3 linked regions of the Macaca fascicularis genome follow. The protein of the gene in region 3 purifies or fractionates together with the protein of the main gene of each other region. This does not show direct contact. Links are inferred from orthologs where the notes say so. Each region holds a gene or a part of one and is shown on either strand. Other genes may lie near its edges. The genes, in order: DDX5, FUS and HNRNPR.

What was found.
Region 1: the proteins of HNRNPR (region 3) and DDX5 fractionate together in Homo sapiens (co-fractionation; 3 studies listed by BioGRID and IntAct, with this or other methods). This does not show direct contact. The link is inferred for Macaca fascicularis from reciprocal best matches to the Homo sapiens genes HNRNPR and DDX5.
Region 2: the proteins of HNRNPR (region 3) and FUS purify together in Homo sapiens (affinity purification with mass spectrometry; 4 studies listed by BioGRID and IntAct, with this or other methods). This does not show direct contact. The link is inferred for Macaca fascicularis from reciprocal best matches to the Homo sapiens genes HNRNPR and FUS.

What each region holds. Positions count from the first base shown.
Region 1 is NC_088390.1:71,091,268-71,093,790, forward strand, and holds the end of DDX5 (probable ATP-dependent RNA helicase DDX5), read right to left. Parts: intron 1,714-2,523; coding exon 1,489-1,713; intron 1,262-1,488; coding exon 858-1,261; 3' UTR 555-857; downstream 1-554. UniProt on the Homo sapiens protein: Involved in the alternative regulation of pre-mRNA splicing; its RNA helicase activity is necessary for increasing tau exon 10 inclusion and occurs in a RBM4-dependent manner. Binds to the tau pre-mRNA in the stem-loop region downstream of exon 10.
Region 2 is NC_088394.1:29,374,988-29,378,641, reverse strand, and holds part of FUS (RNA-binding protein FUS), read right to left. Parts: intron 2,335-3,654; coding exon 2,302-2,334; intron 1,537-2,301; coding exon 1,433-1,536; intron 667-1,432; coding exon 537-666; intron 296-536; coding exon 194-295; intron 62-193; coding exon 1-61. UniProt on the Homo sapiens protein: DNA/RNA-binding protein that plays a role in various cellular processes such as transcription regulation, RNA splicing, RNA transport, DNA repair and damage response. Binds to ssRNA containing the consensus sequence 5'-AGGUAA-3'.
Region 3 is NC_088375.1:211,779,071-211,782,780, forward strand, and holds the start of HNRNPR (heterogeneous nuclear ribonucleoprotein R), read left to right. Parts: upstream 1-783; 5' UTR 784-895; intron 896-1,006; exon of another isoform or gene 1,007-1,535; intron 1,536-3,710. UniProt on the Homo sapiens protein: Component of ribonucleosomes, which are complexes of at least 20 other different heterogeneous nuclear ribonucleoproteins (hnRNP). hnRNP play an important role in processing of precursor mRNA in the nucleus.

The sequences.
Region 1 (2,523 bases), on a different chromosome or scaffold from region 3:
CACTGAGAACGTTGTGCAAACTCAATCAGTTAAGGAGACTCAAGTTTAGCTCCTGGCCATCTTAAAGAGCGAATGTATGTCTTTCACAGGTTTGTTCAACATTTCAGTAATTCACAGTATAGCCAAGAGCATGAGAATAAATCTCTTGAAAAAAAACCAGTTATTTGGAGCTTTTTAAATTATAAATTTTGCCAAAGTCATCCACATTCTCACATTACATAGATGACTTTGTATCTATTTCACTATTCTCTCATTTAACCATACTAGCAAATAAGGAAAAGGCTATATTAAATGACTCCCCTGATGTTGGGAGCTGACAAAGCTTTTATGCAATGTAGCCTATAACTAAAAATTCACCTAAATCAGTTCATTGACTCCTGCAATATAGTTCATTGTAAAGGGCCTTCTGATTCCCCCTGCCTCCCAAATTAAATAAAAAGGAGCAGTCATTTGTTTTCATGATTAAAAACAAAACAAAACAAAAAAAACCAGACCATCTAAGCAAAGTTTTACATAACATTATATATATAAAATAAAGTACAATTTCCACTTAATTCAGTCTTCAAATATTTTTTATTGGAAGGCCATGCATTGCCTTCATTTATTGTATTTCAAATCACTGTACATTTACTTTTGTGAAAACACTGCCTGCATTTTCTAGTACAAAAAAAACCTAAAAATTGTTTCAGGAATGTAGAGAAATATCCAACTTAAATAGCGAAAAAGTGCACCATAATTACTGCTGCACTGCAGTCATTTCTGCAATTCCCATGTTTCTTAAATAACTATCTTGTCAGATAACACACAATATAAAGAGCAATTATGAAAAACAGACATTTACATATACTTCTAAAGTCTTATTGAGAATATCCTGTTGGCATTGGATAACCAATCATAGGTGCGGCTGCAGTAGCAGGATATGCATATGCCTGTTGGTTCATACCATTGTGCATATTTGGAACATTACTTCCGTATTGCTGAGTGCTATCATAACCATTCTGGTAAGTCCCTGTTGGATTACCAGTCCTAAAACTGGTCTGTATACCAGCAGACACAAAATTACTTCCAAAGCTCCCATTAGTGTAATTTGCAGCACTGTAAACACCATTCTGAGTTTTTGCCCCAAAATCTCTCTTTAGCAGGCTAGAGTAACCTCTGTCATAATTTTCCCTGTCTCTAAAGGTATTAAATCCACCCCTTTTGCCCGCAGAGTATCTGTCCCGACGGTCATCCTTCATGCCTCCTCTACCCCTGGAACGACCTGTCAAAAAAAAAAAAAAAATTGCAAATTGATCAATTATGTCTATGACACAAATCATTGTGGACAGAAAGAATTAGATCTATTCATTGCAGGCGTGAAATGGTTTTACAGTTTTTCAACATAAGTTTTCCGTTCAAGGTTTTACTCACCCTCCAATACCATTTAAATGGATTTGTAGACAACGATGTGACTCACAACTACCAACATTTCCTATCAGTCATCCTTACCTGAACCTCTGTCTTCGACCAACTGAAGCAACTTGGGATTAATTGCTTGATTAGCTTCACGAAGCACAGAGATAAGGTCGCTCACTTGCTTTATGTTATTAGGTGTAAAGAAAGTGTATGCTGTGCCTGTTTTGGTACTGCGAGCAGTTCTTCCAATTCGATGAATATAATCCTCTGAGGAGTTAGGGTAGTCATAATTGATGACAAATTTCACATCTTCCACATCTGTAAGGTGTTGCAGTGTGGCAAAATAGCAATGTACGGAGTTTTGCACACCACAACAGCCAGACCAAAAATAAAAAGTTAGACAATTGTATTCCCAAGAAGGTACGGGCTGCAAAAAATACAGTTAAAATGGTTATCCATTCCCTGTAGGAATACCATTGAGGTTGAAAAAAGAAAAAAAAGCACATGTCATCTGTATAAGTTATCACCCACCCAGTGACAGACCCTGTCAAAAGGAATGTGTATTCCCTAGCACATTCCCAAATCAGCAAGTTCCCTTACAGATCATCAAGTGACATCTGAATGCTTCTGCGCAGTAGGGCCACTTAAAGTTTCACAGCAACCTCTTCATGTGCTCATTTTGAGGACCTTGAAACAAAAAAATGTACAAGGTCCTTTGCATTACACATTCATCAGAAGTTCAAACTTCTGGCCACACTGCTTGTCTTGCCAAGACCTTACAACCGCAGCTGCAAGAAAACATACCTGTCCCCCAAAAGTTGTTTTTATGCACTGTGTCTCGTCTAGGCAAGCGCTTCCAAGAAGCCAGGATTCACTTGAGAATGTGTCTCTCTCTGGCAGGTCTCGACATGACGACTACTGTGTAGGTGAGGGAGGAACTTTCAAAGCACTTTCTTTTCCCACTGACTATGTGTGAGAAGTTGCTCCTGCTCTAGATCTCATGTGCCAGTACTCACCAATTTGTAAAAGGCTTAGTACCTTTTAAAGCTGCTCTCTCCATTTCAAACTTGAACAAAAATTTCATTGAACATTGAAGTTTGGAAATATTTCTTCGACATTTCAGCAAAC
Region 2 (3,654 bases), on a different chromosome or scaffold from region 3:
AATCCTCCCCGGCCACCACCACCACTGCCACCACCTCCATAGCCTCCACGGCCCATGGGTCCTAATGCAGATAAAACAAGTATGGGTCTGCTCCCCCTCCAAGTTTGGTAAACCTAACCCATTCCATGCAAGCCTTTACCATCTTCTCTACTCTCATCACCCCCCTTTGCACCAACAGCAGGTAGCGCCTCACCTCCTCGCCCTCGGCCTCCACGACCATTGCCACCACCCCGATTAAAGTCTGCCCGGCGAGTAGCAAATGAGACCTTGATAGGATTTCCGGAGAATTCTTTACCTAGAGAAATAAAAAAGTATCAAGAGACTTTAAATGCAAGATACATTAATCCAAAAATACAAGATAAGCGTGCCTTTCTCAAATGGTTTATAATCTACTGACTCATAAGCAAAAATGAGACTATTTGAAACCGCAGCTAAAGTGCCGGAAGACTCAAATGAACCCTCAAACTATGACTTGCTTCCTATGACTTGCTGCCCTATATCCTCAGCCCCACCTCTGCCAGCCTTCTCATACATACCATCAAACCAGTCAATAGCTGCTTTAGCGGAAGGTGGGTCATCAAAAGAGACCGTTGCCTCTCCCTTCAGCTTGCCAGTCTCCCTGTCTGTGTACAAATTAATCATGGGCTGTCCCGTTTTCTTGTTTGTCTGAAGAAAGCAAAATGAGGTAACATCAATTTTATTTTCTTTTTTTTTTTTCTTTTTTTTTTTTTTGAGACAGAGTCTCGCTCTGCCGCCCAGGCTGGAGTGCAGTGGCGTGATCTTGGCTCACTGCAAGCTCCGCCTCCCAGGTTCACGCCATTCTCCTGCCTCAGCCTCCCGAGTAGCTGGGACTACAGGCGCCCGCCACCTCGCCCGGCTAGTTTTTTTGTATTTTTTAGTAGAGACGGGGTTTCACTGTGTCAGCCAGGATGGTCTCGATCTCCTGACCTCTTGATCCGCCCGTCTCGGCCTCCCAAAGTGCTGGGATTACAGGCTTGAGCCACCGCGCCCGGCCGGTAACATCAATTTTAAAGGCTACAGTACTCCCTTTCCATATTCTTCCTCTAGAACATGAGGTTTATCATTCCCAAACTTCAGCTCCCCTCTTCCTAGTTACTTCGTCCTACCTCACATGTAAACCTCCATTGAGGAAAACTGTCTTTCCCTCCAATATTGAAGGATAAAACTAAAAGTTACTATAAAGTACAAATTTCAGAGTTCAGGGCATTCTTATCAGTTATACTTTTCGTGTTAAGATAGAACTTCTTTTAGAAAACAGTAACTAAGGCTCTTTCCTCAACAAATTAAGCTGGCAACAACCATTAAGATTTGTTTTTACTGCTGGCAACCATTAAAGACTTGCTTTTACTAATGTGTGAAATCCAAAAGCCTGCAACACTGACAGAAGGCACCCACTCCGCTCCACAAGTACCTTAATAATACCAATCTGCTTGAAGTAATCAGCCACAGACTCAATTGTAACATTCTCACCCAGGCCTTGCACAAAGATGGTGTTGTTGTCTGAATTATCCTGTTCTGCTTGTTGAACAGAGAAGAAAATGCGAATGTGAAAAGGTAAAATAAATGACATAGGAAAAAACCTAAAGCACCTAGTATCCATCAAGCAACTCGTATTATTTGGTTTATGAAGACAACTGAAAAATCCACATCCCTTTTGAGTCCCTATATGCCACCCACGCTGATAAATTTCAAATTTAGTTTGAAAATTATCCTTTGAAACATGTTAACACACAGTATACAGTATGGAAACACGGGCTCAGGAGTGAAATGCCCAAGACCACACAAAAAAGCCCATCAGTATTTATCAACTTCCAGTTGAAGGTCCCGAATTAAGAGACCCATTTTACATTCAAATCTAGTACACAAACATCAATACAATCTAAACAAGAATTCAATGCTTTACTTCATGTGGTCTGGTCTTTCATTCACTAGTTTTTATTTACCAGCTTGGACATGATCCACATTTTTAAAAAACCACTGCTGTAAAAACCATCTGAGTGTGGTGCAGACACATCGACATCACTAGGGACTTCTTAGAAAGGTAGGTTTTCAGGGTCATCTCAGACCTTCTAAATCGCTGGGGGTGGAACCCGCAAGCCAGGTATTTCTGAGAAATACTTAATAATGAATACTTCTCACTGCTAGCTAAGGATACACCTAACTCCCTTCCTTCTCTATCCCCTTTTTTTCAGTTTCCTTTTTATAATAGTTTCAAAGAATATCCAGGCAAAGTCTTGATACCACTTTAGCCACTCTTCATGCCACCACCTGTGAACTCACCGGAGTCATGACGTGATCCTTGGTCCCGAGGGCCTTAAGTGACATGGAAAAAAAGAACAAAAAAAAAAACAAAAACAAGGAAGAGGAGCTGTTAGTCAACAGGAAAAAATGGACAAGGAAAAAAATCAACACCAAATCCAAACTTGTAAAGTATCATGTAAGTGCTCACAGCCTCACTCCAAACCCTTTCCTGGGTCGCCTGCCCGGAGAAAATTCTAGGCAGGCCCCTTAAGATCTGTAACTTGAGTCTCCACAGAGACAACTCCACACTTCAGAAAATGCTGCCTCCCCCAGCTCAAGCTGGGAAATGTCCTCAGCACAGATGGCAGGGGAAAGGGAGACCCATTAAAGTGAACAAACCAACTCAGCTTGGCCCAGTTCTCTCACCCGAGAGAAGAGAGATGGGCTCGCCACCAGCCATGAGATGTGCATCCATCCAGTTTCTCCCAACTTTACCAAAGACACTTATCCCTTGTGGAACAATTTTTAATTTCATCTTTAGAAACCATCCTTAAAACCGTGTTATGTTTCCCCAAAACCACATGAAAATAAAAACCATACATAATAGCTATTGTATTTTTTAAGCATGTCCCAGGGAACAGACCAGAAATCTTACTTTCGTAATGCAGCCTCTATTTTGTTTTTCCAGAGACCATCTTTGACCAATGTTTATCTGAATTCGCCATATATAAATATTGTACCCACACGCAATGACACCTAAGTTATGAACCCAAGCCTTTGGCTTTAAATGTTGAGACAAATCAAGAAACCTTTTGTTAGTTAACCAAACCAGAAAAGTTCCAGCTTACTGGGAGACTTCTCAAATTTGTCATTTTTCCATGAATTCAGTTTGTGCTGTTTAAGACCTTCCTGGTCCATGAATTCAGTTTGTGCTGTTTAAGACCTGGTTATTTCCCATGAGCCACACATGCTTCCAATCTTTCTTGAAGTAGTGCACATGTTCCTTCCCAGAGCTAGTTTCTATTTGCCCATCTGAGTTAAGTCCATATACATAGAATTGCATTCATTGACACCATTCCGTACTTTATAAAGGTATACCAACTTCACCATTCTTAGGGCAATGTTACATCCCTCTTCCAGAATTAAAACATTTGGAGGTTGTCTCCCACTCTCACACACACACAAGCCTTGGACACAATGATCAAAAGGATCCTAAAGTCAAGATGGCACCACGTGTTCCAGCACGCACTCTCCAGTTTCTCATGATGATGGTCACTAAGTGCCAGGTGTGGCAACAGCCCTGTCCAAGGCCTACTAAACCCCTCTTATTAACCTGGGGCAAACCCATTTGGTAAAAGACGACTACTGAATCTTACCCCTGCCTGCTCCAGG
Region 3 (3,710 bases):
ATCTGCTTTATTTTATGAATATCAAGTAGCTCCAAATCTGTGGGGAAAAGGTTCCTGCTCTATTACTTGTGTTATACATTGCTCTTGAGTCATTTTAACGATTTCCCTCACAGTCTGCCACCAACGATGTGTGGACGGCAGCCAGGGAGGGAAAGAGGCATTTCTCCGATCGTTCCAAGGAAAGATTACCTAGACAAAATCCTCAGCAAAATGACGAGCCAAATCATCCTTAAATTGTGTGCTCACTAGAGGCGAAAAGATGACCGAAAGAGGCCCGAACGCGTGGCTATGGGCGTGTCTGGGGCGAACGCCGGCAGCAGGGGTGCGAGGGAGGACTCGCGGGCTAAGCGCGGCCGGTGGCGGGACGCGAGCGCCATGGCGGAGCGGGGCCAGCGCTGACTGTAGGGGGCGGGGCTCTGGATGCGGCCACGCGGCGCAAGGCCTAGATTTTGAGCCTCGCATCGGCGGCAGACGAAGAAGGAGGAGCCTCGTCCACCCAGGACCCGGTGCCCCCAAGCCTCGCCACCACCAAGGGCTTCCACCACAGACCCCTTTGTGTGCCTGCCCCCGCCTCGGAGGCGCCCCAGCCAGCGGCGCTGAGCACCCTCATTGGTTCAACCGACAGCTTCATCGATTGGCTCTCGAGTCGTCCGGCGTGGTCCGTTTTGCCTCGATACTATTGGTCACCTGAGCTGCCTGTCAAGCCGCCTCGCCAAGCGATTGCCCCGCAGCTCGGAGTCCCTGGAAGCAGTTCCGGGAAACCCCGCGTGCTGCCGGGATCGCGTCTCTGTCCATGAGGGGGGGGAGGGGGTGGCGCGCGCGCCATTTCTAGTCGTTTTCAAAGCGCCTCGCGCTGATTCTCACGGGCCCGGCCGCCGGCCCCCGCTCTGCCCTGGTGAGTCTCGCGCCGGCCCGTGGGGGGAGGGGCCGGGAGCCCCGATCCAACCCAACTCAGCCCGGGCTCCGCGCCTGGTCCCGTTTCGTTTGCGCTCCGAAGCCCCCGGGTGGGGGTGGGGACGGGCTGGGGGCGGCTTTGGTCTAGTCCGGCCGCGCGGCTGTGGGCCTAGCCCGGCCGAGACGCCTCTCGCCCTTGCTCTTCCTCCCCCCGCCCCTCCAGCCAGCGGTCCGGCCCGCCGGGCGCTCTCCGCGCGGCCTGCCGGGGCCGGCCGTGCTTTTCCCGCCTCCGCCCGCTGCTCCATGCGGCCGGATCCCGCGAAGGGCCTGAGGCGCCCGCGGCCCTGCCGCTTCTCCCCGCCGGAGCCGCTTCGCTCCCGCCGCGGCCGGCCTAGCCCGAGTGGGATGTGCTGATGATCCGGACCGGCCTGAGGGGGTGGGGGTGGGGGCGGAAGGCGGGGTGCAAATCCCAGGGTTATCTGAGCCAGGAGAAAAGTTTTGTGTGAGCAGAAACCAAAAGGCCGATTTGTGTGGGAAGCCTCCCTCCCCTCCCACATTCTGCATGCCGCGGGCTGAGATTTGAAGGAAAAAATGACTACTAGAGGCCGTGGAACTTAGGCTCCAAGCGGCGCCTGAAATGGGTAATTCTGAGACCGTCAGAGGCGCACCAAATTGGAAAGGCGATCCTTTTTCTTACACGGTAGTAACCGTGTTGCCAAAATTTTTTAAAAGCCCAGGGCTTCTTGGAAGGTTCAGTCCTTTCACACTACCTGTTTGAGATTTTTGCAGTCCTCAAGTGGCTGAATTGATGTCTCATGAGTCAGTCGTAGGATGAGAGCTCGACACTGCTAAGCCATGAGATAACCGTTAGTCTCATTTCGTTGGTTCTTTTAAAGCCCGTCTCTTAATATGAAGAATTTGCACAGGGAGGTTCAGAAAAAGTCAGGGAGGCGTTAGTGCTGACATCCCGAATTTCCCAGCAGCCCTTTTAAATCTTTAAAAATGTCTCCTTTTTTTGCAAAAATGTTTAGATCAAATGACTCCCGTCACGTTAGTATATTTGCTGCATCCAGAAATATGGTTTGGCTGTGTGGCATTGTGTTGAATTGACATGAGTTTCAAATGGTCTCATATGACATAAAAAGTCTTTTTAAAATGAGCACTTTGTATTTGGCTTGAAGAGAGAGGGCTTTTCTTGATCCGAAAGTTTTATTTTCTGGAATCTAATTATTTTACCTTTTTTTTGTTAAAATTTACAAACTTTTTTGGAAAAATTTAACCAATTTCAATATCAACTTGTAGAGCCTTTGCAATGATATGGTAGGCATAAATATTTCTGTCTTGTGCTTAATACACAACTTGTCTTTTTGCTTTACACATACTTAAAAACACCACCTTAACAGATGTTCATTGAACTTTTCTGTTAAAAATTTGCCTCTTTTCTGTGACTAATAGTATTCCTAGGTGCAATGCTGTAAGGGTCTTGTGATACTGAGAACTTTTGAGTTCTGATGATCTTAAGGTAGTATGTGGGGATGGGGGAGCATGGGAAAACAGAACTATATGTTCGCAAGGAGATTTTGGGTTTAGGATGCATCTTTATAGAAATAGGTTGTGTTAATCAGTAAACGTATTCATCTCACACAATACAGTTTCTTGATCAAAAGTGTGACAGTTTCGAATGTTTCCGTTTTTGCTAGTTCATCAGAATTTGAAGCTTGCCTTGAGAAACATCCACCCAGAATTTAACCACAGTCTGCGTCTATTAAGGGCTATCGAGTCTTAATAGTGTTTTGTAATTGTGAGGAGTCATGTTATCTCATTTCCAGAGTAACCCTTTGCATTTTCCTTTCTTCTTCCTACTCTGTACTATTACCTCCTTCCCCTCTTGGTCTTCCTCCCTCTTTCATCAACTTCGACTAAGTATCAGTGGACTTTGAAATGAAAAGAAGTTGTTTTAGGCCAGAAGAGTGCACCTGGTGCATTTGCACAATGTTCGATAAGCTGTCTGGAAGTGTGGTTATCTTATGTGTCTTAGTACTTTGTAGGAGACTTGTATTTTCTTTATAGATGACTAGGTATCTTGAGTTTCATCAAGAAAAGTAGGCTTTTTCTTGAGATCTACCTTTATGTCTTTTATTTAGTATGTGTTGCAATGTCTTGTTCTGCTGCCTATTATCTTCATCACATTATAATTTCACCACAGACAAATGCACTTTAATTCCCTGTCTTTTGAGGCAGTATACAGACTGGCCTTGTATGGTTTATTATTTACTCTCTCTCTTCAGGGAATCAGTCCATTTCAGCATTACCTACTGAATGTACAAAATTATTTTTGGTAGGTTAATCTGAGAAATCTGGCTGAAGTTTAGCCTAATTAGGTAACGTTTTTTGAAATATTTGGAAGAAGTTGTCTATTCTTCAGTATGTTTTTACATCTTTATTTTAGTGATAGGAAAATTTCAACATGTACTTTTTTTTTTTTTTTAAAGCAACCTGAACTATAGCTCACTTAGTGTTTTATGTGGACTTAAAACAATTGTTTCGCTTTTAAACTTGGTCATTTTTTCTTTTAAATCTGTGAATGGGAATAGCGAATTAATCTTAGAACAAAAATTAATGTCAAGTTGGTTTTTTTTTTTTTTGTTTTCATTTTGTGTTAAGTTAGGTGGAGAAAACCCAAACCACCACCATGTTGAACTAGAGAAAACAGGGCACTTACTTCACACTGATACTGTATTTGAAGCAGAGCCAGGAAAATTTGAAAGTCCTTAAATCTTGATTAAGTGGTCTGTGGGTGTTCATTCTGTTTTTAA